Linked DNA regions of Macaca mulatta. The main gene of each other region encodes a partner of the protein of the gene in region 3 in a complex. Links are inferred from orthologs where the notes say so. Each region holds a gene or a part of one and is shown on either strand. Other genes may lie near its edges. The genes, in order: USP46, USP12 and WDR20.

Region 1 (9,837 bases), on a different chromosome or scaffold from region 3:
GAGCCACCTTCATACCCAGCTAACTCTGGTATTCCCTCTAGGGAAGGTTCTGTATCAGCCCTGGGACTCGCCAGTGCCTCAGTAAACAGACGGACTATATTAAAAAGTTAAGTTGTACAATGTGCTGATGGCTGGAAAGATGCAGTACCTTTGTTATTCCTGATAAGGAACAATGCCGTGCTGACTAGCTAAGGTGAGGTTTGCCAGCCCTGCAGTCACTGACTGTGACACATCAGCAGGATTGGAAAGATACCTTGAAAAGCTTAGCAGTGTCGGATACAGGATAAATACAATTCACAGGGCCTCACAAAAGTGTCACTGAAAATAAACAACATAGAGTTATTTTCCTGAAACTTGGGTTTTGGTAGAAATGTACGAAAATAACTTTTCATTGTCCACAAAAACTTCCCCCTCTTGGCTTTGCCTGCCCTGAGCCTTCTTAGCCCCTGGAATTCTAATGGCTAGGTCAGCACAGCCTAGTGCCAATGCCAGCCAACACCAGCCACCGCGGACAGCTTCTCTTCACCCTGTTTCATGTGAAGGATGATTTTAGTATTGAGGTTACTCACTTTTCAACATTTTCACTTGCACAAACTTAAAGCTACAGTTGCACCCCTAAAAGGTGAATATCTACCCAATTCTTCTGTCCTTTTATCAGAAAAGAGGCAGAGAAGCTGAAAATGGGTAGCAATGCTTCCAGGGACAAGTTAAAGGAATGCACTGTAAGAAGATCCTGGAAGCCACAGAAGTTTAGCAAACACCTAAAATAGACCATAGACATTCATAGGAAATGTCATTCTAATACAGCCAGACATAATGAATGGCATAGCTTTCACCCAGTCCTAAAATTAGCAACTGTTATTCATACAAATCAGACTACAATCTGATTGCAGTTAACTCTACGTCAGACTGAAATAAAACCAAGAGTAGTGCTGCATGTAAAAACACAAAAGGAGAGAGTCTAACTCGGCCAGACCATTGAGACTCAGAGTGATACCATTAGTGGGCCACTGGGGAAGAAGAAAGACTGCAGAGAAACCAGGTAATAGTGCTTTGAACATTTTCCCCCACTTGACTCAGTTCCACAGTTCTTTAAGTTACTCTCTTGACTGATAGAATAAAATATATCCAGATTCTGAATTTTTTGATATATCTGATGTCAGGCCATAGAATTCTTCAATAGCTTGAGCATCTATTTTCTGCAATAAAGGAGAAAGAAAACAATACAATTATATAATATGATTCCTGGGGAAAGGAGATAAAAACTAATGGAATATATATTAAAATGCAAGGAGGACAATTTGTTATGAAATCATGATTAGGAACTTTCAATAGCAAATGGAGAATTCCACAGACTTGGCTGAAGGACATCATCACAGAAATTGTACATCTCTGGGAAAGTAGGCAACGCCTTCATGCATTAGCAACCCTGTGTGGGCACTCATTGAAGAACAAGACAAGACATCTCCCAGATGGTAAACTGATGGGTCCTGGAAATAGCCTTAAGTCTTTCCGGCCACCAGAGTTTAGTGTTATTCCACTTTTAGTGTTATTCCACTAAAACTGCTACCCTAGTGGGTTAAAATAGATCATGTCTTTGAGTGTAGAATTCATTCCAGCTAGTATTCTTTTATAACAAAGTCAATACATAGAATGTATTGGTGTAATATAAAGATTTCCAGATCCAACAGACTGAAAAAAATAAACAATAATCGATACAAGAAAAATTTGTTATAATAAAATAATTTTAATAGAACTTTGAAGTCTATTGTTTGCCCTGTATCAGAGGGGGCTTTAGTCATGATAGAAACAAGACTTATACTTAAGTATGATTTACGGTGGCACAGATAGAGAGACCCCGTGTCTATGGCTGAACCGTAGAGAACACTTGTCGGTAAGTCCGTGATCACACCCCTTCTCCCTTTCCATGGAGCATGGGGATTCGCAGAATTTGGTTTTGAATAGAAATTTAAGTTGTTTTCAAATTACATTATGGGGAAAGAGGCCTATTTTAGAAAACATCTATACGTATACGTTCCCTGAAATACTATTGATGCTCTATGACTACTGGAGAATAATCTGCAAACCAACCTCTACAATGTCATCATCAAATAAAAGCCAGAAGCCGTGACTTTTCACGATAGTGATATAATGCCCACGATTAGGACCACTGGAAAAGAACAATTAAAAGAAAGTCAGCAAGTTAACATTTATCTCTTTATAAAACTCTACTTAGCTCTTTATACGCAGTGATTCTCTGGGAAACAAACTATGTCATCAGCATAAAGAACTTGGAATACAGCTGATGTCTATGTTCACAACACTAAGCTGGACACGGGAATACAAAAGTGGACAGAAGAGATGTCTTCTGAGGACTCATAATCCAGCAGCAAAAACAGACACTCAAATTCAGTAAATATTAACAAAAAATTACTCTCTACCTATTCTGTGCCAGGCCCTATTCTATCTGTCAGGGGAAGAAGCAGTGAACAAAACAAAGACCTCACTTACTTAGGACTTGGGGTAGGGGCCAGATTGGCAATATACAAACTAAAGTTATAAATGTATGTCAAGCGGTGAGAAGTGTCACGGAGAAGGATGAAGCAGGGTAATGGGATATGAGTGATGGGAGGAGGTAATGTTTGATGGAAAGTGAAGGGAGGCCACTTTGATAATGTGAGCAGAAGGAAATTTCCCTGAAGGAAATGGCAGGGGTAGGGGTAGGGGTGGGGTTGGGGTCAGGGCATGGGGAGAAGCCATGTGACTCTGGGATGGAAGTTTCAGAAATAGGGAATAGCAAGTGCAAACACCTGGGGTGAGTGAGTAGCACTTGGTGTCTTCAGGAACAGCAGAGAGGCCAAAGGAGGCCAGAGCAGCAGAGTGAGCGAGGAGGGGAAGACCGGAGGGGGCTGAGGGGCAGGTGTAGGAATCGCAAGTAAGATTTTAGGCTTTGCTTCGAGCAAGCCAGGAAGAAATGGGAATTTTGAGGAGTTGCATGATCTGTGTTTTAGAAAGACATTAACAAACCAATAAGCATAGTAACAAGTGTTAAAAAGCCATATACTATGCTATACGGAAAAAAGCAGAAAGGACAACTAAGCAGCTGTCACTATGTAGTTAGGTTAGATTTGCACGAGTGAGGAGATTTTAATCCTAAACCTAAAACTGTTTTTTAACGCACTGTTAAAGTTGAAAAAGCCAAACTTTCCCCTTTGTTTACCCTCTTTCAACACAAGATGATGCCAATGATCTGTTCCTGCCCTTTCTCCAGCCTCCTCCAGCTACTGTCTCCCTTTCCCTCTGAGCTCCAGCCCATCGGGCTCCTCTCACACGCCACCCCCTTCACATTACGGGCCTTTGCATTGCTGTAAACTCTGCCAGAGATAATCCTCCCCCAACTGCATTCTTTTTAGCCCTCAGCTCAAATGTCACCTCCCCAGATAAATCTCTGCTGACCACCTCACCTGAAGAGGTATTTCCCATCACTCACTCATCTCCCTGTTTATTCCTGATAGCACTGATCAAAATCAAATTATCTTGCAATGGTTTGTTTTTGGAGGTAGCAGGGCAGTGTGTTTACTTGTTCATTATCAGTCTTTCCAGATAGATTATAAATTTTGTGAGGGCAGGGCCCCTGTGCTGTGTGTCTTTTCGTTACTCTATCTTCAGATCCTGGCATGGAACCCAGAAAATATGAGCTTAAAAAAAAACTTGCAGCAGAAATCAATGCATGAGGCTATGCACCTGTTGCAACTGTGGGCCTGCCTTCCTGGCATGGAAGGGAAGGCAGGCCCAGCTCCCTAACCTCAAAGCTTTCCAGTGCTACCTGGAAGCCACCCAATCCACATGCATAGGCCAACCCTGCTCCACACAGGAGAACAATGCTACTTCTGTGGGGAGGAGTTTGAAGAATCCTAGTTAGTGGCATGCATGACTTGGCACCAACTGATTTCTGCTACCAGGGCTCTTCTGACCTTGTGCTCACAGTACAGAAACTGACCTTAGAGAACCCAGCCTCCCGCTGGACGTCCAGTTCCCTCACCTGGGTCTCTGCCAGTCCTCCCAAGGATTTGAATTGGGCACCCACAGAGACCCACACTGAAAGTCCTGTGTACCCTGTGCAAGGGGCCCTCCTGTTCACACCACCCCTGCCACCCACTTTAGCCACAATGCCCACCAGGTCCCAGGCTCTGCCTGCCTTAAGACCTTCCTGAACCCTGCACCAATGTGAGGCCTCACCCAGTGCTCAAGGCTAGGTTCCAGGTCACTGAAACACTGTGTTCTTCAAAAGAATAACAGCTCTTCTTCAGGGAGAACACCACAAAACTGGCATATAACTAGCAAATAAATACCATTTTACTGAGAATACAAGAAAACATCCAGTGACTTAAAGTTAATACGTGCAGGATAAAATATGGGGTGCTTCACATGTAAAGTTACAGTTTCTGATGCCATCTACCCTAGTACACAATTAAAAATGTATCAGTCTATTCCTGTGCATGGCAATGGTAGTCTCCTGGTAATGGTGTGTTCACCATAATCCGATTTTAGCAGATGGCGGAGAAAGACTCTTACTCTGTGACACGCCCCAATCTAAAACCTACGAGGGCGGGGGAAAGCTGTGCCTACTCCCAAGACAGAACATACACCTGTCCCAGCTGAGCAAAGAATAACAAACAGGTAAATTTTCAATATATTTTTCTTCCCTTATACCAAATTATGGAATAAAAAATATCTGCTCACACTTTGGGAGGCCGAGGCGGGCGGATCACAAGGTCAGGAGATCGAGACCACGGTGAAACCCCGTCTCTACTAAAAATACAAAAAATTAGCCAGCGCGGTGGCAGGCGCCTGTAGTCCCAGCTACTCGGGAGGCTGAGGCAGGAGAATGGCCTGAACCCAGGAGACGGAGCTTGCAGTGAGCCGAGATCGTGCCACTGCACTCCAGCCTGGGGGACAGAGCGAGACTCTGTCTCAAAAAAAAAAAAAAAAAAAAAAAAAATCTGCTCAAAGGATTTCGGCAAAATGCTTTGCCTTTCCATATCTAGAGGCCTTCTCTCTCTTATCTTTTTTTCTGATTATATACTTATTACAGAATGTTGGGGAAAGAATAAAAATAACAAAGAATATTTTTGAGAATATATTTTTAATCACTCAAAGTGCCAAAAAAATACTAAACTTGATCCACTGCTTCCAGTCTTTATTTACACATCTTAAAATACTTTTGAGATCATACTATAAATGCAACTTGGCTTTTTAAAAATTAAAATAATAGCATAGACATTTCTCCATGTTATTTCAAATTCCTCATAACCATCATTTCCATGCAAAGGAGATTTATTAAGTGATTTCTCTCATGATAGAACACTTAGATTTTCATTATTGGAATGCTCTTTATTTTATGTGTCTGCAGGCATGTTTACATATTTTTTGTGATGATCAGTAAGAGTTTGGAAGATATCCCAAAAGTACTGAGTGCCACGGCCCAGGAAAGGTGCAGCTGGATATACTTCAGCGAAGGGGCAACCCTTACACTTACCCTGTATGTCTGCTTCCAGTCTTGCCCTTACCTGCCACAGTGAACGACCACAGCAACCAGGTCATACATGCGGTCCAAGTTCACCGCATCACTAGAGGTGTTGAAGAGCCGGAGTTCCAGAGGGAAGACCACACGGTAAGACAGCTTGGTGTATCTGTGCAGCTGCTCCATGTACTTGAACCGCTTTAGGTGCAGGGCCAAGATCATGGGCAGCTTTTTTACCCTCATCCTAAGAAACCATGAAATAGAAAATCAGTTGTACCCAACACCTGTTAGGGGAAGAGAATACACTGTCACCTGCCCAAACAGAATACGAGGAAGTTCTATCCAACTTCAAACCAGCAAACAACCAAACAGTTTGCAAGGATAAAAGTATGTTGGCTTATATAGAGCTGATTTAACCTACATTCCTGGCTCCCAGAAGCATCCCAGCAGGAGAAATGTACAACGGTGTGTGTCTATTTGTTGAAAGGAGATGTTTCAGAATTTTTGTACAAATAAAAATAGGTTGTGCAATTGTTCTCCACCACTGCCCTGTGCCTTCCAGAGAGAAATGATACTTGGACAGTCTACCCCCTCAGATGATGGAGAGGTGGGTTGAGAGCTTTTGAGAACAGGAAGATGGGAGGAGGACAAGGTAGACGGTGCCGACTGCTGGACTTACAGGTTCCGAGGACTGGCAGGAGATGGATGCTTCTGACACACACTCTTGGGCACTGGGACACCAAGCGTGCCAGGCTCACTCTCATTCCGACCCTTGTGATCTTGGGCAAGTCACTTCCCTTCTCTAGCTCTCAGTTTCCTCATTTATAAAATGCAGGGGTTGGTTTAGGGCTACATTTTGCAAACTGGGTGCATGAGAGCACTGGAGATGTTAACAGATGTGATGTTTCTGTGGCTAAGTTTGGACGATGCTACTTTCTGCTTTGAAGATCCTAAGTGTACATTACCACACTGAAGATTTTGAGAAATCCTGCAGTAAAGGAATTGTTCTGTTGTTTGATGTTGGACTTCCCAAACTTATATAAACATAGAAAGGTTTTTTACTAGGTGATCGTTCACCTAGTAACTGATCATTCCTCAGTAAAAAGTCACAAAAAAAAAGTAAAAAGTCACCTAGTAACTGATCATTCCTCAGTAAAAAGTCACAAAGATAACAGTTTATGCAGAGTATACTGCTAGAATAACGGGTCTTCCAGTTATCTTCCAGGCCCCCATTCCATGAATGTACTGAATTAAGTGTAAATGCCGTTTAGTTTGCATACATTTTTAATGCATAGTATGTGAAAAGGACAAATTTTAAAAGAATAGTTTTAAGGAATCTATTAAGGAAAAGCCCTGTTCATACAAATAAGCAAGTAAAACAACACTAGAGAAATAAGAATTATGGGGAACCCCATATTTTACAGGAACACATGACATTGTAATGTATAAACTCCCCAGGGCTGAACGAAAAACATCTTAATGCCACAAAGGAAGACCCAAGGCCAGTCTTAGGCAGACTGCGGTTATAAGGATGGGGGGCAGACGTGAGTGACCTTCTTTACTAACAAAAGATATCTACCTACCTCCTTGAGGCCTGCCTGCTACAGTGACTAACCATCTGTAAGTTTTGCAGCAAAGAAAAGTGTACATGTTTGGAGTGAACGCCTGGGAAGGCTGGGCAGAGAAATGATCTCAACCTCAGGTCTAAACCCCTGAGGGTTTTAGACAGCAGTACTGAGCATCTGCCAGCTGCCTTGAATACTCCAGACCACTGACGATAGATTTAACTCACGGAAGCCTTTGCAGGATGACTGAAATGGCAACTTTCCTGGCTTGTAGGAGCAGATTAATGGGGAACAACTGGTTATTCCAGATTTTCCAAGAGCTGTAACTGTCTGGTGTGCAGAAAAGATGGTGCAATAACTTACTTTCTTATCACCTGTTCTTTTTCTTTTTTTTTTTTTTTTTTTGATACGGAGTCTCACTCTGTCACTCAGGCTGCAGTGCAGTGGTGCGATCTCAGCTCACTGCAACCTCTGCCTCCTGGGTTCAAGTGATTCTCCTGCCTCAGCCTCCCGAGTAGCTAGGACGATAGGCGCCCATCACCACACCCACCTAATTTTTGTATTTTTAGTAGAGACGGGGTTTCGCCATGTTGACCAGGCTGGTCTCAAACTCCTGACCTCAAATGATTGGCCTTCCTCGGCCTCCCAAAATGCTGGGATTATGGGTGTGAGCCACTGCGCCCAGCCTCTAATCACCTATGCTTATAACTGATGTGTTAATAATTTCCTCATGCGTCCTTATGAAATGATATATATTTTTTAAACTTCTGTCTCTAAATAAGAGGTCCCAATGTTTAAGCAATACAAACAAAAATAATATTGGGTGTCTACTATGTGTTATATACTCTGCTAAGTATTTATATAATTTACCTTTAATCTCAAGAGAATAGTGATTACATTTAATCATTACTTGTTTATCTAGCATAGTATCTGGCACATGGCAGGGCTCAACAAATATTTGCTGAATGACTGAATGAATAAACAAATAAGTAAACAATCGGACAGACAACTCTCCAAGTTGTCCTCTCCAAGGTCAGCGTTCTTATCCCAGTTTCACTGGTGAGGAGGGTAATTGACTTCCCCAAGGTTCCACGGCTACAAGCCCAGGAAGCTGAGATTGATTCAAAGCCAACCCTACTGGGCCCCACAGTCTGGAACCTTCTCACCACACAAAGATAACCCTGAGCTAAATCTTTACCTACCTTTTCTGGGCTTCTTGTTTGCTGCAGCATGTTTCACAATAATATTTTTGTTCACTACACAGTGTTTCTGTGTTGCTGAAGTCTCTGTAGAGGAAAATATTTTCATCTTTAAAAAATGTCCAAATCTACTTGGTATATCATGTTTTAAATCCCTCAATTAACCTGTAGGGTAATTTTTAAATAAAAATGGGAGAAGTAATAAAAAAAAAAACCCTACTTAAAACTAGGATGGAAGAGAAACTACAGGATAAATAAAAAGAAGACTGGGTGCCATTATGATGGTAGACATGTTCTTTACATCAAATCATGAATTTACCATGAGAGATTCAAATATAGTTTTATTTATGGGATATATAAAGGCAGATACAAATTAGGGTTTCCAACTGGATTCAGAAAAAAACCTCATGATTTAATGGTGAATACCTATAAGCTAGAAACTAAAATCATAATAGAAAAATGCTGTTGAGTAAAAGCTCACCATAAACACTAAAACTTAGGTCGAAAAAGGAAATCAGGTAATATGCAAGGTGACATTATTGTGTAGTTAATGAAAAACAGTATTTCTCTGGTAGTCCATATTTTCAAAGAGCACGAAAGTAAAGATAATGAAATTTAAACCATATACAAAACTGCCCTCTTACTGAACTAAAGAAATCCTGAATTAATCAAATGACCACCTCCTACCAACCATTGCTCCCCACTGCTCCCCTGCCAGAGGATATGAACTTTTGCCTGCCCCCTTTGGAGAACAAAAGCCACTGTGTTTGTCATATGTGTATCTGCCTTATCTTGAGGTTCTACTCTGCTACTTATGGTTTTTATTTTTTAAATGTCATGGTTTTTCATTCTTTTCCAGCCATCGAGATTCTACTTAACATTTCTGTGGTACTGCTTCAAGGGCTGAAAAGAACATCTGGACTAACACCCTACAGTTTTGAAAAATTCTGGGACATTTCCTTGTTCACAGAGTGTCCTAGCACCACAATGACCAGATTTTATTAAACATAAAATGTTATTTAAAATGTGTTAGGTGATTCTACCACTTACACAGAACACATCAAAAGAAAACACGGATTCTTTCATTCATTAAGTCCCCAAATGTTTCCTGCCAGTCCTCTGGGCTAGATTCTGGGGATCCACAGAGAATAACTGCCCTCATACGGTTCACACTTCAACAGAGATGCGTGCAAATGAACCACTGACAACATGAAACGATCAGTGCAGCTTCAATAAAAAGTATTACATGATTCCCCTGCTGAAACCCTCCAGCAGTTTCCACTGCACTTATCCACCCTGCCTCCTCTCTGCTTCAGTCACACTGGCCCTGGGATATCCTCCTCTTACCTTAGGGTGTTTGCAGGTGCTATTTTCTCAGCACTGAGAGCTTCCTCCCAGAAGCTTCCATGGCTGGCTAACATGGTTGTTCAGCACTCAGCCTAAACATCCCCTCTTTGGAGAAAACTTCTCTGGCCACTTTGTCCAAGCCTATCCAGCCCCTATCACATTGCCGTCTTATTTCTTCCCAGCATCTGAAACCAATCTTCTG
Region 2 (10,304 bases), on a different chromosome or scaffold from region 3:
AAAACCTTAAAGATTCCACACCAAAAAAAAACTAATAAAGCTAATTATTCAGCAAAGTTGCAGGACACAAAACCAACAAGCAAGTATCAGTTGCATTTCTATATACAATGAACTATCCTAAGAGGAAATTAAGAAAATAATCCCATTTGTAATAGATCAATAATAAAATACTCAACAGACCTGTACAATAAAAACAACAAAACATTGTTCAAAGAACTTAAAGACCTAAATAAATGGAAAGACACCAGTGTTCACAGACTAGACTTAAAATTGTTAAGTCAATTTAATCTTCCTATCAAGTACCTGGGATTATAGGCATAGAATTTAATCTATTGTCAAACACTACCCAAAGCAATCTAAAGATTAAATGTAATCTTTGAAAATCCCACTGACAATTTTTGCATAAACAGAAAAAACTAAGATTCGCATGAAACTTCGAGGGGCCTTAAGTAGCGAAAATGATCGTGAAAAAGAACAAAGTTGGAAGACTCATACTTCCTTACTTCAGAACTTACTACAAAGCTACATTAATCAAAATAGTGTGGTACTGGCTAAGGTCAGATAAACAGACAAATGGGACAAAAGAGAGTCCTGAAATAAACCCTAGCATACATGGCCAACTGATTTTGGCACCTCATTCATTGGGAAAAGGAGTCTTTTCAGTAAGTGGTGCTGGGAACAGCGGGTACCAACATGCAAAAGAATGAAATTGACCCTTACATCACATACTAAAATACTAAAATTAACTCAAAATGGATCAAAGACCTAAATGTAAGAGCTAAAATAATACTCTTAGAAGAAAACACAGGGAAAAAGTTTCATGACATTGGATTTGGTGATGCTTTCTTAAGACATACCAAAAGCAAAGACAACAACAAAAAAAATTAGGCCAGGTGAGGAGGCTCACACCTGTAATCCCAGCACTTTGGGAGGCTGAAGTGGGACGACTACTTGAGCCCAGGAGGTGAGAGCAGCCTGCGTAACATCGTGATACCCCCACCACTACAAAATATTTAAAAATTAGCTAGGTGTGGTGGCACATGCCTATAATCCCAGGTACTTGAGAGGCTGAGGCAGGAGGTGCACCTGAGCCTAGAAATTTGAGATTGTAGTGAGCCACTGTGATTGTGCTACTGCACTCCAGCCTGGGTGGGAATGGGACCCTGGGGAGGAAGGGAGGGAAGAAGGCAGGAAGGGAGGAAGGAAGGAGGGGAGGAAGGGAGGAAGTGGGGAGGGGAGGAAGCAGAATGCAGGTTCACAGAGGCCGCGGGAAGGGAAGAAGTATGGGGAATGACTATTTAATGGGTACAGAGTTCCTGTTTGGGACAATGAAAAGAATTCTGGAAATGGATGGCAGTGGTATTTGCACATCGCGAATGTACTGTCACTTAACTGGACGCTTAAAAATGACTAAAATAGTAATTTTTAGGTTATTTTACCACCACCACAACAACAAATCTCTTGGTAAGGATAGCCATGGTTAAGGGCTTGGACACTGGAGTTACACCTACTTGAAACCTGGACCTGCTACTTTCCAGCTGAGTGGCTCTAAAAAGGTACTTAACCTCTAAAGAACCGTAGATTCTTCTTTTGTAAAATGAGGATGTCACTGTCTCATAGATGTGGTTAAGATTAACATTAAAAGAAGTAAAATACCGAGCACAGGGGCCATCACATAGCAGGCTATCACCCAAAAGCAATGGGTTGTTATTTCAGTAGCTCTGCAGACAGAACAGAGACACGGTTATTACAGAAAACACATGACTGAAGAGAGATGGGGAAAACTTTGACATGTTAACAGGCACAGGTACTGGTAACGGGGAATCATGAAAAAAAGTTTGTGGCAAGGGACTCTCAGCTTTTCAACAGTTCATGAAAAACTTTCAGGTATAGAGGATTTCATTTACTAAAAGTTCCATAAGAAGTGTGTGATACAGATGCTTAGAAAAGAGAATGCGATCGCAGGTCCAACTGACAGTATAGTTCACCTGTCACTGTGCTTGTTCTAGGCACACTCTTTCAGAGACATGAATGAAAAACAGTGCTTCCAGAACAGGGCTCCCAGGAAGGATGAAGTCTTGGAAAGCCACCTGATACAAAGATCAGCCTTGAGATCAGAGGCACACTGGGAGAATGAAGGATGGACTGAAAATAATGGCAACGTAAGTAACAATTCAAGTTACTCAGTAACGGAACCGGCTTCCAGCACTCAAGTGCAGGCTGACTGACCACTTGTGAAACAGATTTTACAGGAGCAATTACCACACAGGAAAAGAGGAGGAGCAGGAGAAACAGTAACCTTTAAGGTATTTTACCTGTTTTATCCTCTAAGATTCTATGACTCTCAATTTTCAAATTTAAACTTTGAACTTTGCAAAGACATGCTATCACAGAAACATGATACAAGCTACTATGTGCTAAATAAATGCAGGCACATGTAGAACGTTGTTTTACACACATGCAATTCTGTCCTAGGGAAAATCTCTTTGGATACAGAAGTAGGAGCTTGGGCAAAAGTAGTAGCACAATTTCCGAAGTGTCCACTTCTAATCTGTAAATACATTTTAGGCAAAAAGGAAAAAACACACTTAAAACCCACAGGCACAAATAAACCAACTTTAATAGATATTATTTTATATTTATATAGCGCCTTCTTCAAGAACCTTAAATGCTTTACAGACATTATCTCTAATTAATCCCCACAACAACCCTGTGAGGTAGGTATTACTCCCATTTTACAAGACAGGGAGACTGAAGCACAGAGAGGTTAAGTGACTTGCCCAAGGTCACACAGTTAAATTCACTGAAGAGCCAGGACATGAGCGCTTTAGCCTCCCAGCTCCCAAATACCTCATGATAGAATCTTTAATAAAAAGTGTTTTTAAAGAAAGTATCAAGAGTAGTTATGAAAATGAGGTCTTTCTACTGCCATCAAGGAAAGAAAAAACCCTATACTGATGGTTAGAGGCCCCAAGACCCAAATAATACAACATTTCCTTCTTTCCCTGTTCCCAAGCCTCCTGGTTCCTGTCTTAAATAATCTTTTAAAGGTAAAATTTCCAAGACAGAAGCCATGTGACTTAAGAAGTGGGATTTAATTTAGAATATTTACTTTTAGTTACAATAATTTATAGAAATTTTTATTCCAATATACAAAATATGGGACAGCCATCCCAATAATCATGTACATAGTTACATAGCAATCGGCCACCATTTACAACTTAAACCAGCCCTGCATTTTAATCACAGTCAACTAACATACAACCTCACAATGCTTTCTTCATGGGTCACTTTTCTTACTTACTATACCTGTATTTTTCCCCCAACCCTGACCCTAAATGTTTTAAAAGTATATTGAGTTTCTTCAAAACATTTTACTTAGATCCAGCTGCATTAAGAAGAAAAAGTAAATGTAAAACTGTGACCCCACAGTCCCTCCCCTGACAAATCATACTATGAAGTATGATGTAGATGTGAATAAGTATGTGATTACCAGGAACTCAACACATATACTAGAACTTGCTTTAATATGAAATGTAACTTGGCTTTTACTGCATGTTTTTTCTTTAATGCAAAAATGTAAAAACAAACACAACGTAGTATTTCAATGCTGTACCTTTATGCAAATGACTTCATCTATCTTTTCTTAAACATGTTGTGATATAGCTCATGTTAAAACTGACACAGCTTCACTTACCTCTTTTTCTCTGTACTGAAAGCTGCAGAAATACAGCTTTAATTCCAAGACAATTTGGTTTAAGCCCTCAAAATAAAAAGAGCGCATCCACTTTCACTGCCCTGACTTTCCCCACATTGTTGATTGTGATTCTCTGTGGCATGTTGGTAGATAAGGCTGGCTATATATAATTTGTACAAAACATCTCTAGCCAGGGTAAGGCTTTAGAAACTATCTTAAAAAGAAACTTGTCAAAATACTTTTGATATTTAGTACAAATACTATTATTATAATTTTCTCCCAGCACATGTGTTTAAGCAGCCCAATTACCTAAGTGACCCTGTTAAAGGTCTGCTTATGGAACAAATAGGTGAAGTCATTTCCTGAGCCAAAAGATACAGATAATAAATGTTAATAATAGCAGCAGACTAAAAAATTCCTTTTTGTTGTTTGTTTTCCATAGTCATCAGTTTTAGCAAAAGAACTTTAGCAAATGACAATTTTTTTTTTAAATTTACTGCCTGAAAAGAATTTAATAAAGAACATCCAAGGCCTGATTGCTATTATTCTGAATATAATTTTCAATAATTTTCTGCAAGTTACATTCGGCTACTGTCAGACAACTTTCTGATGCATGGAAAACCGTCCAAAAAAACTGCGACGGTTTGCATACATTTTATGTTACATATATTATTTCTTAAAACCCCCAACAGAATGAAGTCTTAGCAAACACAAATTTTAATTTCTGAACACCCTTCCAGTAAGATTGTAAAGGTGCGGGGAAGGGGAGGAAGGACTTGTTTTTTGTATTCCTAGTCTACTTGATTAAAATTTAATCTTCAAAGGGTTTGTTTAGCTCACTATCCAGGCTGCTAGGGTTATGATGAACATTATTACTTCTTTCCAGGGTAAAAAAATGACATCTGAAAATAACATAAATGCTATGACAAGATATTCCAAGCATGACCTCAACTTGAAACATTAGAATACTTAAGAATTCTAAAGATTGGTATACCACCACTGCACCAGAATTTTTAATTATTCCAACAACTACAGGAATTTTTTTATAGTTTTTTAATTTTATGAAATTAAAGCTGAAGAAAATAACTGATTTAGAAACCATAACAAAAGGACAAATACTTAGCCAGAGATATCAGTTCCTCCTGAAAAAGGATATTTACCTCCTCTCACTGCAGTTTTTCTCAAGGTATCTTACTGATTTCAGATAGAATTTAAAATTCACCTTAAAAATAGAAACAAACAAAAGGACTACTTAAACTGACATTAACTGATAAAAATATGTTCAAATTTACTGACAGAATCATGGGCACTTCATACAATACTTAGACTCTACCAGTTTTAAGTAAAATAAATAAGGAAAAAATTATAATTACAAAGCCAGTCTTTCCCCTTGGGGAAACAAAAAGCCACTTTTGACCAATTGCTCCCTACATATACATACACTGTATATTATTATAAGCTTCTTCAGAGAAGCAAAACATCTTTGTCTTCCCGACACTGGATTATCTAGCATGTTAGGTTTTACATCAGGAAGGCAACTGCAAGTGTTGGGCCCAAAAGTATTTCTGGTTGACTCTTGAAAAGACACCGAATATGCTTCTATACACATTGAACCAGGCAAATTTATGCAGTGTGTTCGACATCACCTCCTTATCAATACAGCACAGATCCCGATTCTTTCTACTGCACTCCCAAGGAATTCAAAGCATTATTGGTGCAATTAATAAAGAGAAAATGCGTGTCAATGACTGGAAGGCTGTTTTACAAGAGGAGCTGGTATCTCTGATTTCACCTCCTTGTTGAATGGAACTGTACAGACAGCATGATACCTGAGCAAATAAATCAACTACCATGATCGGAAGGGCTTGTCAATCCATCGTCTTTGCTTTATCGTGTGCAAAGTGTGCTACTGCCCCCTGAGCTTCCTGCATTTCTCTTTTCTTGAAAAATCAGTGCTTGATCCTTTCCAAAATAACCAGAGGAGAAATGAGGCAGAAAGTATCTCTTCATCACGGTTCCCCCTCAGTCCCGAGACTGATAGAAAAGGATGTAACCAGACTCAGAGTTCTTTGAGATATCTGATGTCAACCCGTAGAATTCTTCAATAGCCTGTGCATCTATTTTCTGTGAGGCAAAATGTAAACATTAGTACATAAATGAGCTCTGTACAGTCAGATGGCTTAAATTTAATAGACTGATAATACCAAGTATTTGGGGAAAATGGAACTCTCATACATAGCTGGCAGGGCACTCTGAAAAAATGTTTAGAAATACCTATCTTCTAAAGCTGAACATACAACTACCCTTTGATCCAGCAATTCTACTTCTAGATATAGGATGAATTATATGAAACCACTAATAACTATTTTGGACCTACAAAATGGCAACTTCCAGGCCGGGCACAGTGATTCACGCCTGTAATGCCAGCACTGTGGGAGGCCAAGGCTGGCGGATCACCTGGGGTTAGAAGTTCAAGACCAGCCTGACCAACGTGGAGAAAGCCCGTCTCTACCAAAAATACAAAATTAGCCAGGCATGGTGGTGCATGCCTGTAATCCCAGCTACTCGGGAGGCTGAGGCAGGAGATTCACTTGAACCCAGGAGCTGGAGGTGGCGGTGAGCCGAGATCGCACCCTCGCACTCCAGAAGCCTAGATAACAAGACTCTGTCTCCCAAAAAAACAAAAAGGCAACTTCTAGTGGTCCAACCTAACATATACCCAAGAAAAATGAGTGTATACGTCTAGCAAAAGGCTTGTAAAAGATGACCAATGCATTTTAATTCACAATAGTCATTAACTGACAAAAGGTCAAATTTCTAACTTGGTATATTTGTACAGTACAGAATGACAAAGCAGTAAAAAAGAACTGCCATTACTGCAGGCAACAAGAATGCACCTCACAAATATATTCAGTGAATAAAGTCTGACACAAACAAAATCATACTGTATGAGTCCATTTATATTCAAGCCTAGGCAAAATTAATGATAAAAGTCCAAATAGCAGGCTCCAGGAGGAAGCTTAAGTTCTGACCAGAAGGAGGAACAAGGGGGCCTGCTGTGGTGTTGAAAATGAATTATATCTTGACCTGGATGGTAGTTACAAATGTGAGTGTGTCTGTGTGGCTGTGTGTGACGGGGGGACACACATATACAAATTCATCAAATTCAGACTTGTACACTTTACTGTATGTATGTTACATGGCTTAATTTTTTTTTTTTAAAGTCAGGTCTGTTGTTGAAAGCTTTCCTTTGTTTTATTCCACGTGTGTAAAGGTTACGTGACCACTCAACTGTTGGGCTTGGACGTTGTAGAGTAAGAAGTAGGAATCAGACTACAATCCATAGACCCAGACATTTGTCTCATAATCATCACCAGTCATATCTAAATGAGAAACTATCAGAAAATAGTGAAAAGCAACATATGCATAAAACTTTCAAAAATAAGAGATTAAGAAACTACTTACTTCTACAATGTCGTCATCAAACAACAACCAAAAATCATGACTCTTAACTATTGCAATATAATGGCCTCGATTGGGACCACTAAAACAAACAAAAAAGAAGTTAATTTAATATGATATTTATTAATATTACTCTTTCATGCTCTAAATTTTATGTTTTATAGAGAAACTGAAACAAATAGCAGTAAAAAAGAACTGCTTCTTTTTTATACCCCTTAACTATTCTTTCCAAAAAAGATAAAGCTACACTGAGTTGAACTGGTAATCAATTTTAAAATCAAATAATTAGTACTCTAAGAGATTCTATTCACATAAAGCTGCATTATTGAAATTCTTTCCTGTCTTTGTAATAGTTTTCAATTTTGCTTCTATAATAAAAGACAAGGTTTTCTATCATTTTATAAGGGAGGGGATCACAGCAGAACATGCTGAATTCAACTATAAAACAATGCATACAAGAATTATTTCTAAGCCTCACTCCCTTGGTAATAGTTTTTTTTCTTGAGGAAAGATCCAACATGATGCTTGAAACAGGCAAGGATATCAAATCCTTGGTTCCAAAATCAAGCCTGAACTTCACAAAATGTCTTTAAAAGCAAATGACCTTTGCTCAATGGTGAGTCAATACGAAGTACCTAATTCTTAATACCATTATAACTATTACTATGATTGCCCTTGCATCTCATTTTAAACAAATCTGGAATATATAAATGTAGACATGCATAAAAATAAAGGAGGCATAATTTCTTTCAAAAGCAATTCTTTGTTTTATAAAAGGATATGACAAAGGTTTTAACCTCTTCCAGTTTAAGTACGGTTCATTATAAAGGCTTATATAGTTATATTTATTCTTTGTAATTCTATAATTAATACAGAATTTGAAATCCTTTTCAATACAAATTATTCCTTACGCTAAACACTATTTTAAAAGTAGTGACCAGATTATTAGAATAAGCCACCTCCTAAAATGTCTTATGTTTCTCAGATCATTTGATCTTGTAGGTAAGATAAATACCTTAGGTGACAGAATGACACCAACAAAAACATTATTTTTTTTAAACTATGGAGGATGACACCTCAAAACTTTCTTTTTAAAAAGCATTTAATGCTTTATTAAGTCTATTTCTATATTTATTTAGGACTCATCTAAAGGGTCTTGTGTGTTATGGGGAGAGGGTCAGAAATGAAAACAAAATTATAAAAGGTGAAATCAAGAAAAATCAAAGAAAGGCTGAGGAACACAGGATGGAAGGAAAGGAGGTGGGTGGGGTGAGAACTAGTAAATTGAGAAAAGTTAGGCGGCTTTTTCCTTTGGCAAAGAACTAGTTTGAAGAACAGTAGACAAAAGTTAATTTCATAAACTAAAAATGAAATGAGAGATGAAGGGCTGAACTTCCACCTAAGGAAGCTGTTTCTTAGGCATCTGATTTCTGGACATTAAACACACTCAGTTGAGCAGATATAAATGCCTAATGTATGCAAGTAACTACTGACTGCTGTGGAGATTAAAGAGATTTCAACAACTGCTTGCCCAAATACCCCTTCAGTACAGAGATAGCTACTCCAAAAACATAATCCAAGGCAGAATATGATATAAAAGTAGAGCCACAGGAGAGACCGTATCCAGCAAGAGAGGAGGTGGAAGGGAGAGAAGGATGGGAAATCAAGAATCGGAGCCCAGTTCTGACATGGGCTTGAAGGGTAATACTTAGTCAACAAACATTTGCTAGAAGTCTCTTCTAGGCTGGGAACCAGGGATAGAGAAGGAGCAAGCTGAACTGGAACTGACATGCTGATAATGAGGCTGTGCACACCCTCCACACTTTCATATGAAGCAAATCTACAAATAAGTCTGACAAATAAAATACACAATGGAAAAATATTCTAAAATATGATTATCTTTTATTAGCGAGCAAATTATCTCCTGTTTTAAAAAGCACCTGTTCTCATAAGGGAAGCAGACATACATCCTAAGACAGTACACAAAGCACTAAGACAGGGCTAGCACTGCACATCTAGTATTTATGTGAAGACAACACGTGGAGACTGAGGCTGGGCAGAAGAGCGTCAAGGAAGACTTCCAGAGAGAAGAGGCAGGAAGGCATGAGGCAATGAGAGTGAGACAGGAGAGAGTAAGACCCCGGGGTAGGGGCGGGATCCCAAAGACCTACTGTGCAGAACTCCACCAGAAGTGAGTTCCCAGTGAAGGCAGACCACCAGGGCTGTGAGGAAAGTCAATAACCATCTCTCTGCAATTTTCTGCAACAATTCTGACAGTAGGGATTCAGACAGCTGGCAAGAGGATTTTACAGTGCTTGTGAGAACATGCTTTAACTGACTGTGGAGTTCAAGTTGGGAGAAGCAAGTGAGGCCAAAGAAAAGGTTAAAAAGGCAAAGGGTCAAGAGACTCAAGGATTTCAGGGTGGGGAAAGGGTTGGGTTAATTTTAAAAGGAGAGAGTGGGGACGGGACCCTGGTTGCCATCTAAGTCAGGCATCTCAACTCAATGTCTTGTGAGTAGAGCATAATTCTAAAAATCTAACATAATTTAAGTAGAGTAGGACTGTTACTAAATTTGAAGAGGCTAAAGAACAGTCTAATTAGGGTGTGAGAAAGTAAATATTATAGAGCTGGGATGTGAGAAGGCAGTATTATATTTTTGTTACTAAGACAGTAGCAGTAGCTGATTTACATCTCCTTTTGAATCCCAACAAAGCAATGAGGTAATTAGTATTATTTACATTTTCTAGAAGAGAAAACTGAAGCCTTTTCAGGAAACTCTGCATAACATCACACTGCCCACAACTGGCAGAAATGGTACTGAGATCCAGGCTTCTCTCACTTTGAATACCTGGTCTGAATCACTACACCAAGGTTCTTTAAGTAATCTTGACACTGCTTCACTCCTTTAAGATGTGATCACTCTTAATTTAGAAGTAGAAGAAAGATTCTTGCTGAGGATAAAAGACGGGACCCAAGGCTGACCCAGGCAATGGAGGTACAAGACGATTATTACAGAGTATTTGCTCCCTCCGGGTTGTCCTTAAAAATTCTGATCAGAGGCTGGGCATGGTGGCTCACGTCTGTAATCCCAGCACTTTGGGAGGCTGAGGCAGGCGGATCACCAGGTCAGGAGATTCAGACCA
Region 3 (10,302 bases):
GCAGTGAGCCGAGATCGCGCCACTGCACTCTAGCCTGGGCAACAGCGTGAGACTCCGTCTCAAAAAAAAAAAAAAAAAAAAAAACAAAGAAAGAAGAAGAAAAAAGAAATATCCAGTTTGAGGCTGGGTGCGGTGCCTTACACCTGTAATCCTAGCACTTTGGGAAGCTGAGGTGGGTGGATCACCTGAGGTCAGGAGTTTGAGACCAGCCTGGCCAACATGGTGAAACCCTGTTTCTACTAAAAACACAAAAATTAGCTGGGTGTGGTGGCATGCGCCTGTAATCCCAGCTACTTGGGAGGCTGGGGCAGGAGAATCGCTTGAACCTGGGAGGTGGAGAGGTGAGCTGAGACTGTGCCACTGCACTGAAGCCTGGGCAACAGAGTGAGACTCTACCACAAAAAAAATAAAAATAAAAATAAAATTGTCTCGCTTTTGGCCGGGCACGGTGGCTCAAGCCTGTAATCCCAGCACTTTGGGAGGCCGAGACGGGCGGATCACGAGGTCAGGAGATCGAGACCATCCTGGCTAACACGGTGAAAGCCCGTCTCTACTAAAAAATACAAAAAACTAGCCGGGCGAGGTGGCGGGCGCCTGTAGTCCCAGCTACTCGGGAGGCTGAGGCAGAATGGCGTAAACCCAGGAGGCGGAGCTTGCAGTGAGCCGAGATCGCGCCACTGCACTCCAGCCTGGGTGACAGAGCCAGACTCCGTCTCAAAAAAAATAAATAAATAAAATAAAAATAAAAATAAATTCTCGGTTTGAAATTGAAAATCAGAAATAAAATTAGGTCAGGCCCGTTTATTTATTATCTACTTATTTATTTATTTCCCGAGATGGAGTCTCGTTCTGTCGCCCAGGCTGGAGTGCAGTGGTGAGATCTCGGCTCATTGCAACCTCCACCTCCTGGGTTCAAGCAATTCTCTTGCCTCAGCCTCCCGAGCAGCTGGGATTACAGACATGTGTCACCACGCCTGGCTAATTTTTGTATTTTTAGTAGAGATGGGGTTTCATCATGTTGGCCAGGCGATCTCATACTCCTGACCTCGTGATCTGCCCGCCTCGGCCTCCCAAAGTGCTGGGATTACAGGCATGAGCCAACATGCCTGGCCATTCAGGCCTAGTTATTTAGTTTTGGGTGTTACTTATTGAATCTTTGAATATGGGGGAAGAAAGCTACGAGAGAAAAAGAATAAAAACAGAGATTATTCAAAGGCTATGCCTGGGGTCGGGTACAGTGGCTCATGCCTGTAATCCCAGCACTTTGGGAGGCCAAGGAGGGCAGATCACAAGGTCAAGAGGTCAAGACTATCTTGGCCAACATGGTAAAACCTCATCTCTACCAAAAATACAAAAATTAGTTGGGCATGGTGGTGCACATCTGTAGTCTGAGCTACTCGGGAGGCTGAAGCAGGAGGATCACTTGAACCTGGGAGGCAGAGGTTGCAGTGAGCTGAGATCACATCACTGCACTCCAGCCTGGTAACAGAGCAAGGCTCCGTCCAAAAAAAAAGAAAAAAAAACCAAAGGCTATGCATGAGACAAAGTGAATAGTCTATTACTGTGATTGTAATAAAATGTTGAATTTATATATGGTAAATCTTGATAGAATGCTTAGATTACATAGGTATTATGGGAAATAGAATGTTGTGGTTAATTAAGGAATAATACAAAATTTTGTTTTAACTTTTGCTTACTGGGTTTTTTTCCCCCATATATATACACACACATATATATATATATATATATACACACACACACACACACATATATATATACACACACACACATATATATATATACACACACACACACACATATATATATATATATATATATATATATATATTTTGAGACAGAGTCTGGCTCTGTTGCCCAGGTTGGCGTGCAGTGGCGCGATCTCGGCTCACTGCAAGCTCCGCCTCCCGGGTTCACGCCATTCTCCTGCCTCTGCCTCCCAAGTAGCTGGGACTACAGGCCCCTGCCACCATGCCCGGCTAATTTTTTTGTGTTTTTAGTAGACACGGGGTTTCACCATGTTAGCCAGGATGGTCTTGATCTCCTGACCTCAGCCTCCCAAAGTGCTGGGATTACAGGTGTGAGCCACTGCGCCTGGCCTTTTCCCCCCAAAATATTATTACACTTTTTTCCTCTTGATAATTAGGAAATACAGATAAATTATTTTTAGAAGATTCAAGATGTCACTATCCTTCAGGTTGATTATTGTAAAATATGTGTTTTCAATGTAAAATAGCACAGTTATGGAGTTTGGGATCTAGCCATGGGAACCACAGAACATACCTTGGTGTACTAAGATTTCTGATCTCGATTTGACTTTTAGGGAAAGTCGGATAACATCGAAACAATTCTAAGAAAAAATTTTAAGCATTTCTAAGGCTCTATTAATTAAGTAGGACTTCAGTGCTTTTTTTTCTTTTTTTTCCAACACAATGCAAATGTATTATTACATCACTGGCACAGTTTCTATTGGTATCTATTTGCTTTATAATACAGAAGATGTTTATGATTTAGATTCCTCCTACTTTAGAAATTCCCTCCATTCACTTCTTTTGTGTCCCTCAAGATATAATCTGAACTTTCAGGAATAGTTGATTCTTGGTGTTACAGATGTTGGCTTCCCTCCTCCCTGGAATTCTATTAGAATGTTTCTGTCACTTTAGAAACTTTCCTATTCTGGTGCAACATGCCAAGAAACCCAGGTATAAAATAGTGATTGTTTAATCTTACTTTGACACGTGTGCCCGTTCTTACAAATCTAGACCCTGTACATTACATGCATACAACTATCCCTATGGATCTCCTAGTAAATAATCTCACTGACTCCACCTGAGGCTTCTGGAAAAAAAAAACCAATTACCTTAAATTTTATTAAGAGCTCTTCGTAAACTACTGAGCAAGAGAAGTGAATCCTGCATAGATTCAGTCCCCGGTTCCCAGAGCGCTTCCCCGCCGCGTGTCTCTGAACAGTTGGAAAGGACAAACCTCCGCTAAGAAGCGGAGGCCGCCAGTGCTCACCACACATAGGAATTAGGATATTCATGCTGTACCACATTCTTCTCTACCCCTACCCGGCCTGAAATAAAACATAGTGAAGCGTAAATCTTGAGTACTTCGGTACCTTCTCAGAAACGGCGGCGAGGAGGCTTCCAAGGGGCTTGCTTCCTGACCGGGGATCAAGACGGTCGCGCGGGTAGTCAGCACTCTCTCTGGGCGGGACAGTCCCCGTCCCGAAGGGAGGGCCCAGGAGGGGTGGAGCCGTCCCCGCCCGAACACAGGGGCATCCGCGCTCCCTGTAGGGTACCCCGCGTGCTGGCCCCGAAGCGGTGGCAGTCGGGGTGGCGCTCTTCCTCCGCTCTTTGGGGTCCCGGCGCCCCTCAGGGCAGGGGGGGAGACCGCTGAGGAAGCACCCTCAAGTTCACCTCAGGCTCCTGACACCAGCCCCGCCGCGGTTCCCCATGATCGGCTTTCCGTTGGTCCTAGTGGCTGCGGAACCGTCAACTAGACCCCACCGGCTGGAACCAACATCACCTGGGAAGCAGCCGGGCCGCCCGGAGGCCACGCCCGGGGGAGGAGCCTGCGGACGCCCAGCCGGGTGGAGCACGCCAGGTGAGCACGCCTGCGCAGTCGGGCCGTAAACAAGCCCGCCCCTTCCCTTCGGCCCGCCTTCGCGGGGCTGGCCCGCGGGTGGGAGGGGCGACAAGGAAAAGGCAAGGGGTGGGGGAAGAGGGAGCACCGGGAACAGCGCCTGCGCGGTGGGCGTGATCCGGGCACTTAGGGCAGGATGAACGCTGCTTTCCAAGATGGCGACGGAGGGAGGAGGGAAGGAGATGAACGAGATTAAGACCCAATTCACCACCCGGGAAGGTCTGTACAAGCTGCTGCCACACTCGGAGTACAGCCGGCCCAACCGGGTGCCCTTCAACTCGCAGGGATCCAACCCTGTCCGCGTCTCCTTCGTAAACCTCAACGACCAGTCTGGCAACGGCGACCGCCTCTGCTTCAATGTGGGCCGGGAGCTCTACTTCTATATCTACAAGGGGGTCCGCAAGGTACCGACCCGGGCGTCACCGGGGTCAGCCAGCGGCGTAGGCAGAGGCGGGAGCAGGGCGGTGACAGTGGGGCCAGGGTGACCGAGGGGGTGGCCGTCGCTCTTACTTTTGAGTGGGCCGGTAACTCCCTCCACTGGGGTACTCCTGAGGAGAGGGGATTCAGGAGTAAGGAGGGTGGTGGCGGTGGCATTTCGAAGGGGTGGGGGCTGTGGAAAGGAACCGTGGGACGCGGGGTTCTGGCTGGGAGGCTCCCAGGGGAGCCGGCTGCGTCCCCTCCAGCCTGGTCCATCAGGCTCTGACATGGCCAGGGAGCGGGCCTGCGAGTCCCCGGAAGAGATGGGGTGGCCGTCTTGTCTGCTTCGATTGCCTCGCCTCCCTGGAGGGTTGGAAGTCTCGCCCTGGGTTAGAGAACAGGGGCGCAAGACGGCTTAACAAGATCTCTGTAAGGCGGAACTGGGGCCGGGAAGCCGGAGACTGAGACTAGGTCAGAAAGAACCTGCTCGGCACGCAGGGCTACTCCACCTGCTGCCGCACTGACACTTCCTAGGAGCCTCTCCTGGTGTTAACATTTCTATTTCCAAAAACATCCGCGGGAGGTCGGCTGTCAGTGTCCGCCGAGGGGACGTTCTGAAAGACTGTTAAGGAGAGTCATCTTGTCCCTTGTAGTATGCGAAGGGCTGAGTACTACAGTTGAAATGATGTTTGCAATGAACTAAGCTGGTTCAGAGGGGTTGTGTGTGAGAGTGCCCAGATTAGTCTTGTCCAACAAGTCAGACTGTGTCCCAAACGGGGAGGGATAATGCCTTAAAGGCTACTTTAAAGGGACCATCCTTCTTGGCGGGCGAGTTACCAGTAATGCTCTGAAGCATATAAGCATCCTTTAAAAGTATCTCTTTAAAAGCAGCCATTTATTAGAGCTTTTCTTTCATTGGCTATGTAACTGTGTTTTCACTGAGAATTGCTTAGTTTTGAGATTGTAGTCTTTGACTTGATGTTATGGAAGAGTGAGGAAATAAATGCATCCCACAGCACCTCCAAATAGGACAAGGTGATAAAAGATTAATTCGCAAATGCATGTTAGCATGAAAATAAATTGTTCATATTGAAGAGTGAACATTCCCTAGGATTTCATATAGCCAGATCCAGTGCAGGATTTTCGCTTGTTACAAGAGCTAGGGAAATGACAGTGGTATCTAAATGTAGCAAAGTTGTTTCTTTCATTCACGGTGAATCTTTTTTATTAGTGTTTATGATAATAAGTGTACCACTGTATTTAGAGTATACTATTAGAAGTTATTGAGGGTAAATCGCTTGACCTTTTTTTTTTTTTTTTTTTTTTTTTCTCCCTCTTTTGGAATTGCAAACGCTTGAAGTAGTCTTCAGTCTAGGGGCTGAAGTTTTACTCCTACTCCCAACTTTGTCACTGACTTGTTGGGTGACCTTGGATAAGTTATTTAACTTCTATTTGCACCTCTTTAAAAAGGGAATGTTACAGTGCACGTTGTAACTAATAATATAATAATCGTAATGAATTTTAAGGCTCTGAAACACTCAGTAGATGTAAAATATAGTTAAAGAAATACTAAGTAACTGTCAAATAAGAAGCTGCCGTCTTGACGTTGATGTTCAGAGTGAAAGGATTGATTTTGTTTCTGGAAATTAAGTTTAGAATTTTAAGTTTTAAAAATTTATATAAAAATACAATGTGCTTAAAAACTAAATTCACTAACTAGCAATTATTAATGCAGGAATTACTTTAAAATTTTTTTTTCTTTGAAGGTTATTACTTCTGAAGCATCCTAATGGCAAACCTTATCTGGATCTGGTAGCCCTGGTTTACATCATAAAGACAAGTTTCTTGCCTGAAAGGATCCTTACAATAGTGTTCTCTTTTAGTGGGACGCTATTCTCTGAAGGGTAAAAGGAGGCAAGGCTTTTAAAACTACACCAAAAAATTATTTTAAACAAGATAAATCTGAAATACGTAAATTGCCCTTACCTGCATAATTTGAGTGTTTTAACGTTTTTTTGGGTCAAATTTCATTTTCATGTGGTAGTATCATAGATACATTTGCATTATGTTGCAGATGTTTCTGCTCTCTTTTAATTGTAACTTAAAATTTTTTTTCCATTAATGAGTTTGCATTTATTGTTACTTCTGAGTGTAAGTGATTTTTTGTGGCTATTTTCTGATTTAAAATATAGGAAATAAATTTTCCTTAATTGGAAAACCAAGATTTACTCTTTAGAGTTAGTAGTTATAAACCTATTTTTGACCGATGGCCATTAAACATGTTTTTATTTTTGTTTTTAGAGACAGGATCTCATTCTGTTGCCTAGGCTGGAGTGCGGTGGCATGCTTATAGTTCACTACAGCCTCAAACTCCTGGGCTCAGATGATCTTCTCACTTCAGCCTTCCTAGTGGCTGGAACTACAGGTGTGCACCACCATGCCTGGCTAATTAAAAACAAAAAAATGTTTTTTAGAGATGGAGGTCTTGCCGTGTTGCCCAGGCTGGTCTTGAACTCCTGGCCTCAAGCGATCCTCCCACCTCAGCCTGCTAAAGTGCTGAGGTTATAGATGTGACCCACCACACCCAGAGCACAGTTGGCTGTTTTTTTTTTTTTTTTTTTTTTTTTTTTTGAGACGGAGTCTCGCTCTGTCGCCCAGGCTGGAGTGCAGTGGCCGGATCTCAGCTCATTGCAAGCTCCGCCTCCCGGGTTTACGCCATTCTCCTGCTTCAGCCTCCCGAGTAGCTGGGACTACAGGCGCCCGCCACCTCGCCCGGCTAGTTTTTTGTATTTTTTAGTAGAGATGGGGTTTCACTGGGTTAGCCAGGATGGTCTCGATCTCCTGACCTCGTTATCCGCCCGTCTCGGCCTCCCAAAGTGCTGGGATTACAGGCTTGAGCCACCGCGCCCGGCCTACAATAATTATTTGGATTATTCAGAAGATCTAATTTAGATGTATAAATTCAACTTAAGTCTGCGTGTAAAATGAGTAGAAAATAGGTGTTTTAAAGAACTTAAATCATGAATTACGTGCTACCTTTCCTGAGAAAAAACATGGGGTCCTGGGGAAATGGAGTAGGTGAGGAAGTAGTCTAACATTCATGCTAAGGAGTTGCAATCTTGAGCCTTTTAAAAGGTTTACAGGTGTCTGGAGTTAGAAGGAACTTTAGAGTTTGTTATTTCACCCTCGTCAGAGAACCGAGGCCAGAGAGGGGATGCAAACCTGTTAGAATTTTTTCTCATAGTAAGGAAAATGAAGCACAGCTGAGTCTAAACTATCTTAGAAGAGACTGATCCGGCTTTTTGATCACAGGGATATCATATATTCCAAGAACTTATAGAATCTACCTCGGCATTTTGCCATGTATTATTTTATTAAATTCTTGAGGTAGATTAAAACATCTTTTCACAATTGAGGAAGTTTAAAATGGGGTTTCTTATGTGAGGAGATGTAGTTTGGCAAATTTATTTAACTAAAGACAGTATTAACGTTGATTTAATACTGACACTAATCATTTCACCAGATTTGAGTGACTACTGTGATAGTAACGATACTAGGCAAGGTGATGTGAGGTATTCAGAGCTAAATAAGACCCTGTCCCTCTCCCCAAAAGACTTTCAATTACTAGCTTTCAGACATCTTTATTACATACTTTGTTCTTCTTTTTTTAAAAAAGAAGTTGTGGTCTGGTGCAGTGGCTCACGCCTGTAATCCCAGCACTTTGGGAGGCTGAGGTGGGAGGATCGCTTGAGCCCAGAAGTTTGAGACCAGCCTGGATAACATATCAATACCCTGTGTCTACAAAAAAAAAAAAAAAAAAAAAAAAAAAAAAAAAAATTAGCTGGGCATGGTGGTATGTGCCTGTAGTCACAGCTACTTGGGAAGCTGAGGAGGGCTCTTGAGCCCAAGAGTTAAGGTTACAGTGAGCTATAATTGTGCCACTGCACCCCAACCTGGGCAACAGAATGAGACCCTGTTTTTAAAACAACAAAAAGGGGGAGCGGGGCTGCGCGCCGTGGCTCACGCCTGTAATCTCAGCACTTTGGGAGGCCGAGGCGGGTAGGTCACCTGAGATCAGGAGTTTGAGACCAGCCTGGCCAACATGGTAAAACCCCGTCTTTACTAAAAATACAAAATTAGCTGGGCGTGGTGGTGCTCACCTATAGTCCCAGCTACTCGGGAGGCCAAGGCGGGAAAATCGCTTGAACCTGGGAGGTGGAGGTTGCAGTGAGCCGAGATCATACCGCTGTACTCCAGCCTGGGCGACAGAGCTAGACTCTGTCTCAAAAAAAAAAAAAAAAAAAGGTTGTTTTTAGGATATAGGATAAAAGATGCCAAAGGTAAGGTAGCTGGGCTTATTGGACCAATCCTCTCTTCTCATTTTATGGATCTCTGTTTTTACATAAATACGAATGGCCTCCATTCAGATCTCAGCTTAACCATCACTTCCTCAGGAAATTTTGCTTTGAATCCCCATGGTGTAACAGTTTTCCTCTATTACATGGTTTTTTGTTTTGTTTTGTTTTTTGAGGCAGAGTCTTGCTCTGTTACCCAGGCTGGGGGCTCACTGCATCCTCTGCTGCCTGGGCCCAAGTGATTCTTATGCTTCAGCCTCTTGAGTAGCTGGGATTACAGGCATGCGCCACTGTGCCTGGCTCATTTTTGTATTTTAATAGAGACAGGGTTTTGCCATGTTGGCCAGGCTGGTCTGGAACTCCTGGCCTCAAGTGATTCACCCGCCTCAGCCTCCCAAAGTACTGTGATTACAGGCCCTATTATGTGTATGTGTTCTTAGAGCATCCTGTACTTTGCCTTCCTAGCACTTTTCTGAATTTGTAATTCTGTGTGATGAGGCAATTGTGCCTTCTGTAAACAAAGCTCCCTTAGAATAGTGACCTTATCTTTCCTTCTCTCCATCTTCTCAATGCCCAGTGCAGTGTCCAGTTTAGAGTTAGGCCCTTACTGTGTATTTGTTGAGTAGATGACTGAGTAAAGCCATGTCTATGCCAAACTTGAAAGAGATCTTTAGAAGCTGAAAAACCTATTCAATTTTGGGCCCGAAAGTAACTTGGGTATTTTTTAATAGCTCATATCTTTTAAAAGACATTTAAAAATATTGCTAGTAAGTAACAAATTTAACCTTCTTAAAATAGGGAAATTGTATAAGAGACAATGAAGTAATAGTAAACAATTGATACAGATTACTTTTGATCTACTTCTGTCAAACTATGTCACCTACAAGATCCATGTACAACTTTTAAAAACTGTACTCAGGCCAGGAGTGGTGGCTCAAACCTGTAATCCTAACCCTTTGGGAGGCCGAGGCAGGAGGATTGCAGGAGTCCAGCCTGGGCAACACAGTGAAACCTCATGTGGGTTTGAGACCAGCCTGGGCAACATAGTGAAACCCTGTCTCTACAAGGGTGGGCGTGGTGTCATGTGCCTCTTGTCCCAGCTACTTGGAAGGCTGAGTTGGGAAGGTCACTTGAACTGGGGAGGTTGAGGCTGCAGTGAGCTGTAATTGTGCCACTGCACTCCAGCCTGGGCAACAGAGTGAGAGCCTGTTTCAAAAAAAGCCAAAACAATCAATAATAAACAAAAACTATACTCAGAATGACTTAACATTCAAGCCAAAGAACCTTCCTACCTCCCCACATCTTAAGATTCCAGGCCACAAATGTACTGCCCAGAGAAGTTACTGAAGTGATAACTACAGGAGGTAGGAAGTAAATTTAGAGGGTTCTAAGGTTTTTCCAACTCTAAAGGTTGTATGATTCTGTGCTCAGGTTTTTTTTTTTTTTTTTTTTTTAGTGAAAATGGATTCATCATTCTATTGGAGAGATGTCTTCATCTCTTTGATTCATTGCCTACTTGATTTGGAATTGAGAGGGGTGGGGTGTTTGGGAAAGCAAGCTGAAAACATTGTGATTTTTAGGTCTTTATGCTAGAAGAGTTTTTTTTTTTTTGAGACGAAGTCTTGCTCTGTCGCCCAGGCTGGAGTGCAGTGGCTTGATCTTGGCTCATTGCAACCTCTAGCACCCGGGTTTTAAGTGATTCTCCTGTCTCAGCCTCCGAAGTAACTGGGATTATAGGCGCTTGCCACCATGCCCAGCTAATTTTTGTATATTTAGTAGAGACGGGGTTTCAGCATCTTGGCCAGGCTGGTCTTGGACTCCTGACCTCGTGATCCACCCTCCTCAGCCTCCCAAAGTGCTGGGG

The links.
Region 1: the proteins of WDR20 (region 3) and USP46 are in contact, whole or in part, in a crystal structure (PDB 6JLQ), measured with the Homo sapiens proteins. The link is inferred for Macaca mulatta from reciprocal best matches to the Homo sapiens genes WDR20 and USP46. Residues at the interface, in NP_653175.2 of Homo sapiens: Asn41, Ser42, Gly44, Arg151, Lys259, Tyr261, Phe262, Gly263, Glu282, Asp283, Asp284, Leu285, His301, Lys304, Ser305, Trp306, Gln374, Asp375, Thr376, Leu509, Arg516, Met517, His533, Glu534, Arg535; in NP_073743.2 of Homo sapiens: Asn205, Thr206, Ser207, Thr209, His210, Arg213, Arg273, Val275, Phe276, Pro277, Glu279, Leu280, Arg281, Phe283, Asp293, Met295, Gln338, Glu342, Tyr344, Thr347, Ser348.
Region 2: the proteins of WDR20 (region 3) and USP12 are in contact, whole or in part, in a crystal structure (PDB 5K1C), measured with the Homo sapiens proteins. The link is inferred for Macaca mulatta from reciprocal best matches to the Homo sapiens genes WDR20 and USP12. Residues at the interface, in NP_653175.2 of Homo sapiens: Asn41, Ser42, Gly44, Ser45, Arg151, Ser170, Lys259, Ser260, Tyr261, Phe262, Gly263, Glu282, Asp283, Asp284, Leu285, His301, Lys304, Ser305, Trp306, Gln374, Asp375, Thr376, Arg516, Met517, His533, Glu534, Arg535; in NP_872294.2 of Homo sapiens: Glu207, Asn209, Thr210, Ser211, Thr213, His214, Arg217, Arg277, Val279, Phe280, Pro281, Leu282, Glu283, Leu284, Arg285, Phe287, Asp297, Met299, Gln342, Glu345, Tyr348, Thr351, Ser352.

Annotation. Positions count from the first base shown.
Region 1 is NC_133410.1:80,906,574-80,916,410, reverse strand, and holds part of USP46 (ubiquitin carboxyl-terminal hydrolase 46), read right to left. Parts: intron 8,376-9,837; coding exon 8,292-8,375; intron 5,769-8,291; coding exon 5,571-5,768; intron 4,338-5,570; exon of another isoform or gene 4,240-4,337; intron 2,171-4,239; coding exon 2,092-2,170; intron 1,200-2,091; coding exon 1,098-1,199; 3' UTR 1-1,097. UniProt on the Homo sapiens protein: Deubiquitinating enzyme that plays a role in behavior, possibly by regulating GABA action. May act by mediating the deubiquitination of GAD1/GAD67.
Region 2 is NC_133422.1:7,151,327-7,161,630, forward strand, and holds the end of USP12 (ubiquitin carboxyl-terminal hydrolase 12), read right to left. Parts: intron 7,242-10,304; coding exon 7,163-7,241; intron 5,822-7,162; coding exon 5,720-5,821; 3' UTR 2,603-5,719; downstream 1-2,602. UniProt on the Homo sapiens protein: Deubiquitinating enzyme that plays various roles in the regulation of the immune response and inflammation.
Region 3 is NC_133412.1:175,489,310-175,499,611, forward strand, and holds the start of WDR20 (WD repeat-containing protein 20), read left to right. Parts: upstream 1-3,785; 5' UTR 3,786-3,821; coding exon 3,822-4,070; coding exon of another isoform or gene 4,071-4,106; exon of another isoform or gene 4,107-5,386; intron 5,387-7,824; exon of another isoform or gene 7,825-7,959; intron 7,960-8,272; exon of another isoform or gene 8,273-8,389; intron 8,390-10,302. UniProt on the Homo sapiens protein: Regulator of deubiquitinating complexes. Activates deubiquitinating activity of complexes containing USP12. Anchors at the base of the ubiquitin-contacting loop of USP12 and remotely modulates the catalytic center of the enzyme.